Linked DNA regions of Drosophila melanogaster. The protein of the gene in region 2 interacts with the protein of the main gene of each other region in a pairwise test. Each region holds a gene or a part of one and is shown on either strand. Other genes may lie near its edges.

Region 1 (3,760 bases), on a different chromosome or scaffold from region 2:
AGCTCCTTCTCCTTTTTTCCAAAGGCTAGACCCTCCTCCACCGTGCGAATGAACTCTGGATGGAAGCATGTCGTATCACCCGGAGCCACCAGCCATTGAATCACTCGTCGGCCGTACGGGCTGCTCATTAGCGCCTTTAGATCTCCGTGTAGGTGATCGTAAATTGCCTTCTTGGTCGCCTTAGTGTCGTCCAGTGCGTTTAGCAGCGAGATGAGGAACACGTGGCCGTGCTCATGGTTGGCGATCTTTAGCAGGTGCTCCTTGATATTCTTGATAATGGCCTGAAGAAGGGGTTAGAATACATATAAGATTCTGTTTCATCAACACACGTTATACGTGATCCACTTACTCTGCGATTCTTGGGCGTCGACTTGTAGAAGCATATAACAGCCGCCTCGCTGCCCTCCTTGGTGGACAGCATGTGAGGCACTAGAGCCGCAAACGCAGTGACCGTCTCCTCCAGCTTCTCCTCATCTTCGTCGCAGGCGCGCAGGTACTCCAGCATCACGGCGTGCACCAGCGCACTGTCCACCAGCTGCTTGTTGGCCACATGATCCAGGTTTGCTTTAACCGACCCCAAAATGGAGGCCTTCATGTTCGTGGCCTCCTTATAGGTGTCGCTCAGAGTCTTCACATTCGAATCCTTGGCCTTCCGGTACAGATCGCCGTAGAACTCCTGGCGCATATAGATGCGCTGATTGGGTGTGGCGCTCTGATACATCGAATCCAGCAGCCCACTGCCGATGCTGTGTCCGGCCAAACGCACTATATGTCCGTACAGGCTGTCCACCAGCTTGGCTTTGGTGGCTGGCGCACCGTACTTGAGCATCCGTTGCACGCAGAACTGGGCGTATTTCGACTGGCACATCTCCACGGTGAAGGGAAGCAGCTTCTCAGAGATCTCGGCCCGCAGAGCTGGCGACGCGTACTTTAGCATGCTCTGGATCACGCGGGCGGTGTCGTGGGCCTTCACCACCTTTGAAATAGTGTCGCCCACGTTGAGCACCTTGTATATCTGCTCCACCAGCTTGTCCTTGTTCTCCGTTCGGCGGCTGCAAGACAAGCACCAAATTATGTTGATATATATATATCAGAGCAATAGGATTTGCGCATTCATTAGTTGTAATTTTACGAAAAAAAAAAAAAACGCGACAGAGGATAGAGCTGGTTTGTTTATGACCAAACAAAACAGCATGCGCTAAATAGGCGTCTTTGGAATCTACGCTCTTGGTTCTAACTCAACATTTATACAGAAATACAAGGCTATATTAACTTAGTTTTGATACTGATCAAAATGCTTAACTAGCTATTATTGTTTCAAGAACATGAATAAAATGTTTGGTGTTTTTGAATTCGAACCAAGTGGCAATGTTCGGTTTTTCCACGAACAGGTGCTTCGTTTTGGGATCCACATGGCCATGTTTATCGATATCTTGTCCTTTAAGGAACCAAAATGACTTATAATTATTAAAACTATATCGTATAGATTGATGCCTTATGAAATTTAAACAACTTTGTACGTTCTGAATGTACATAAGTGCATGAAAGAGCCCGATTTTGTTGAGCTATCATAATTTGTATAGGTAATTTGAGCGCTAAGGATGATAATAACCGATTGTTTGGGCTGTTCATCGTGTTTTTGGGGATGCTCACCATCGCAACTTCTCGTGGATCTGGTTGGCCTCCTTGCTGATCTCGTAGGTGTCCTTGGCACTCTTGCGCTTCAGCTTGAGGTCCTTCTTCTCCTTCTTGAACTTGTTCCAGTCCTGTTTCTCGCCCTCCGCCGGCGCCTGTGGCTGTGTTTGTGGTTTTCCGCGGAACTTGTTGCCACCAAGCCTCTTGTCGCCGGTGGCTCCGGATTTGTCAAACTTCTTGAAGCCACCGGGCCCAGACTTGTCGAACTTCTTGGCACCACCAGCGCCTGGCTTTACAAACGACTTGCCTGCTCCTCCGCCGAATTTGTCGAACTTCCTGGCGCCTCCTGCTCCACCGGGCTTAAACTTCTGTCCGTTGGCGCGCTTGCCGGACGATTCATGGGCCTTGAGGGGCGAGGCCGTGTTGGCCACGTTAGCAGGTCCTTTCGGCTCCGAGCTAACCATCTTTGCTGCGTTTTCTTGGACACTACAACTAAATAACAGCAAATGTTTTTGCCAAAAAAGCGAACTACACGTGCTGCTGATGCAGAGTGACCAGATTGTTGCAGTATACCCAAGCTGTGTAAATACCAAAATCTGGTATTTTCGTTCCACATACAGTAAGTATCAATGAAGTGCTTCTATTTGTTTAAAATTTAACTCAAGTTAATGCGTTCAGTTCAATTTGACTTTCCATTTGAAAGCGGCTAAAAAATAATAATCCATGTCTAAATATTAAATTTAAACTCTTCCTAAACTAAGCTCCTCAATGTTGATTACTTGTTATAGAAGGTCAAATAATTTTATGCATGTATTTGCGTCGTTTTATGAATATATGTATGTATTCATTCCCAAAAACATATTAGAATTGGTCTAAAAATTGAAGGTACCGATTTTTCATTAACGGCACTTGCCAACACTGGCTTTGCGGGGTAGCAGCCGTGTTTCTCGCGCTGGCAACCCTGTCCGGCAGAGTTCACGCACTCGGGCAACCTTGTCGTTGGAGGTGTTCGCGAACGTCGACAACCCTAGCGGCAACAGTTAAAAAATGGTGTGAAACGGCGACGGAGAACGCGGCGTGCAACTGTTGGAAGCCACTGCTTGGTCCTCGTTTTGGTCCCGGGTTCTGGTCCTCCTATTGATCTCCATCTCCGCCCGGCCACCAGCTCGAAAGCGCACCTACACATCATAGTTTCCATAGACAGTCCCAGTTCCACATCCACTCCCCCGCCAGCCAGCCAACAACAACAAAAACAACAACAGCAAGAGAAACAACTCAGAAGTCGAAAGGAATCTGGGAACTCCTGCGACTCCCCCGCGCAATGGGCACCATCTCATCCGTGCTGCAGTGGTCGTGCACCAAATGTAACACTATCAATCCCACGGAGTCGCTCAAGTGCTTCAATTGCGGCACCGTCCGCAAGGTGTTCCCCCAACAACAGCAGCAGCAGCATCGCAGCAGCAGCATCACCGCCTCCTGGACAGCTGATGATGCACTGGAGCAGGAGCAGGCGGAGAAGGGGCAGGAGAGGGACAAGGAGAAGGGCAGGGCGGCGGTTGCCAGGTAAGCGAAGCGGTCGCCACAAAAACAAACAGCCTGTATGCCTCCTCTGCGAGGATGTGCCTGTGTGTGTCTGTGTCTGTATGCGTGTGTGTGTGTGTGTATGTGGGCGCCAGTGGTGGCATCCAATTGGAGGACAAAAGCGCTAGCTAAAATCATGTCGCATATGGTAATGTGTATAGAAATCGGTGGCGTTTTCAAATCCAACTTTTTTCGCACACACATTGTATGCACACTTTGGAAAATATACAAATACACAAATATGTACATACTTTCATCGGTAAAATTCGTCAATCAAAAACCTTAACTTTCAAAGAATAATAATACCAAAAGCTTACCAACGTAAGCTCCTATGCTGAACTTTAATATCCAAAGAGCAGACCGAGTAAATCTTAGTAAATTTTATAGTTCTCACTAACCCTTTTGTGCATAATGAAACTTAAAGAATAAGAAAACAATGAAATCGGTTAGGAAAATCCTGATTAACTATCCATAGGAATAACTCGAATGGGAGTATAGGAATAAGTTGAAAGATTTTTATATTACGAACTTAAGTTTCGAAAGG
Region 2 (3,436 bases):
AAATATATTCTATTAAGGTCAAGTGATATTTGTGATGTAATCCCACTTACATAAACTTTTTTGAGCTAGCATTTAAGCTCATGCTTCTCGAATTCCCCACATGAATTGCTTTTCTTAAATGGACCAGACTCTCCCACTCCACACCTGATGTCCTCTAAATGGAGCCGATGATGAGCGTGATCCGCCAAAGGCAAGTTACTGCCCATACGACCCGACCCGACCTCTTTCTTTAAACAGGTAATTGCAATTGCGACATCATTATCATATGCTAAACGGAACTGATTGCTATTGAAACGGTTTTGAGGTTTGAATTTCTTTTGAGCTGAAACATATTTCTAATTAAATTAATTAAGCGAAGCGAGAATATGGCAAGTATGCAAGCCAATTAGTGGAAAACGCAAAATTAAATGTCTGTGCATTGAGGAGACTGCAGCGGTGTGGAGTGGATGGGTGTAAAAATAGCTGGGAAAAATGGCAACCAGAAGAGTGCGGGATCGCTCCGCCAACCCATTGTCCTTGTCCATGGAGCACTTTGTTGGCCACTCCGGCTATAATTGCGTTGAGACATGTAAGCTTTTGTTTTGCAGTTAGGCGTGTGGCTGTGCGACAAAGTTAATGACAGCATAATTAAACAAAACTAACAGCAGACTAATAAAATGTTCATAGTGCATGTCGCTCAAGGCCTCGGCACATCACCACGCCATCACAACCCCATCACCTCGCCACCCACAATGCCAGCTACTTTCCATATCTCCAAATGTATATACATTTATACAATACATATACCTGGCGAGCATTTCATGTCGTTGTGTGTCAACGTTTGTCAAGCGACAATTAAAGTCATAATAAAGGCATGCTAAAGACAATTATTATGTGCACGTCCTGCCACGCCCCCCAAAAAGAACCACCCAGTTCGTTCGGTTAGTTATGCATAAAGTTCGCCACAAAAGGGTTTAACCTGAGCGTAAACATGCGCTCCTTTGTCTCGCAGGCATATAAATTTCAAAATTAAAGCAGAGTTTAACCTTTGTCCTTGTGCAAATGGCAGGGTGGGTCTATAACCACCTGCCTGCGATTGTGTGAGACCCGCATAAAGAGCCTTCGGTTTTAATGCACGCGAAATTGACTTATTTGATTTATTTTCATAGTTTAAGCCAAGGGCTTTTATTATAAGCATGCTTTAAGTGAGTGGATTTGAGAGGGGATTTTAAGAAAATGCAAGGCAAAAGTTATATTTATATTCGCGTTGTTAATTATTTATTGAGTACTGTATTTTGCGGTGATTAAAAAAATAACGTTGTGTTTGAATAAAGAAAATCATTGTCCTCATAACACTGAGAATGCATAAAATAATTTTTTTTTTAATTGCCCCCAAGTACAGTAAAACAAATGTGCACAGAGCTTTCTTCGAAAAGTTATCCAACCAGCATGCATTCCACTATTCGCTCATTATGGAAAGCGGCTGATTAAATATTAACTAATTTAATAAAATGCCGGCCTGCTTCAATATTGAAATAGTCAGCGAATGTATTTGCCCAAGCGCACGTAGCCGAGATATATAAAAGGTGGTCCAGGGTGCAGAATGATTAGGCTATCCGTTGACCGACGATGCATTCGACCAAGTCAGCCGTTCTCCTGCTCGCCCTGGCCATCAGCGCCAGCTGCGTTGTTGCCACACCGCATCCGGAATTCTTGGATGAAATCTTCGGCTCCATAAACCAAACTGGCCAGCACATCATCAGTGGATTCGTGAATGCCACCAGGAATGGCACGGCCATTGCTGGTGAGTTCCTGGACAGCATAAGGAACTCCTCCGCCCAGTACACGCACGAAACCCTGGAGTTTGCCCAAAAAATCGCAGATGCAGTTCATAGAGCCGCCACTGAGTCAATCGTCGACTTTTCCGCGACTCTGAGGGCGCAGATCGACGCACTGCATCAGGGGATTGATCGGGTGAGAAACATCCTGCAGCGAGAGGCACTTAAGGATGCTCTCGCCAGACTGCAGACCGTCAATACCGTCGTAAATGATCTGGAAGTGGCCGTGAATAACCTCAATGATCGGATAGACGAGAAGAAACAAGAGTATTTCGCCATAATCCAGAAGAAGTGGTACCAATGGTCTGACGCCCAATTGGAACGAGTGGATAAGCTGACGAATGGAGTTGGCAACGAGGAAGCCGAGGAGATCATAAATGAGCTACTCTCCCGGTATTCCGGATATCTGCACAGCTGCCTGGAGGAGTTGCAAGCGCAGCAAGCCACGTTTGAGCAAAATGTCCAAGAGGCCATCGAAAAGTACCACAATGCCACCAACGAACTGACGGACCAAGTCGAGCTCTGCGTCCAGTTCAACCTCAGCTTCCTGTCCTGCCGCAATGGCATCAATGAGGCACTACGCGGACTCGACTCGGCTCCCGCGGAGCTGCTCACCCTGAAGCTTCAAGGCATCCGACTACTGGCCATCGGCCTGAATGCCAGCGGATGTGTGGGCCAGACCCTGGCCGAGCACGAGCTGGAGAAGCCCAGCGTGGAGCGCAAGCTGGATGAGATCATTGCGGAGTACCAGGAGCAGCAGACTTCCACCGATGACGACTCTAGCTCTAATAATGAAACGACCACCATAAGTTCGTAGGATTTCGGGGAGTCATCCAGTAATGAATATGACAACTCCAGCAATGACGACGAATCCTCATGGAAATATTTACAAGAACGTATAGTGTATTTTAGGTGTCGGGTAGAAGCAGCAAAATAAATTACTCTAATGCAACTAAATTAGAAATTGTTTTCCTTCATCGTTTATCAATGATGTTTCTTAATAAACTATGCCAAGCTTCTCAAAATATTTCTTAACTTTGAACAGTACTTTAAAAATTACTCTACCGCAAACGTATTACCCAGATACCGATTAACTTCATCAATGGTGCAGCACATTTTTTGCGGATGCTAAAGCAATTATTTTAAAATTGTCATATTCATTTATTTAGGTAAGGCACGAAAGTCGTGGCAATTTAAAGACACGAGGCTTTAGTAGATTAATTATTTAAATGCATTCGATTCTGCCTTTATATGTAAATTAAATAAGGGTGCTAAATAATATAGAAAAAGGGAAAAAGAAACTAACTTGCACTCTTAGCACCTCCCCTACTAACAAATGATGCAAATGAACTGAGTGAATTCCCCTTAAAGGACTTCCCCAGCTGCTATAAATATAAATAGTTGTATAACAACAGTAACGAAAGGTATAACACTGAATTAACAATCTCAACTGCTATAAAAATGAACTTTTGTGCTTTTGTATAACAGTCAATTGAAGAGGACACGAAGCGCGTAGTACAGCGTTTATAAAGTTTTATGCTGTTATATTTTTCAATGAAAATGTGTTATTTCATATCGAATATAACAGATTTGCTATAATATTCAAATTATGGCTCCGT

The links. The genes of interacting proteins can lie anywhere in the genome.
Region 1: the proteins of CG16826 (region 2) and peng interact in a two-hybrid assay, tested with the Drosophila melanogaster proteins (one large-scale study listed by BioGRID).

Annotation. Positions count from the first base shown.
Region 1 is NC_004354.4:21,347,653-21,351,412, forward strand, and holds the start of peng (penguin), read right to left. Parts: upstream 2,192-3,760; 5' UTR 2,100-2,191; coding exon 1,654-2,099; intron 1,053-1,653; coding exon 350-1,052; intron 282-349; coding exon 1-281. Other genes in the region: sol (small optic lobes), read left to right, coding at 2,957-3,198.
Region 2 is NT_033779.5:13,346,189-13,349,624, forward strand, and holds CG16826 (uncharacterized protein), read left to right. Parts: upstream 1-1,584; 5' UTR 1,585-1,608; coding exon 1,609-2,634; 3' UTR 2,635-2,832; downstream 2,833-3,436.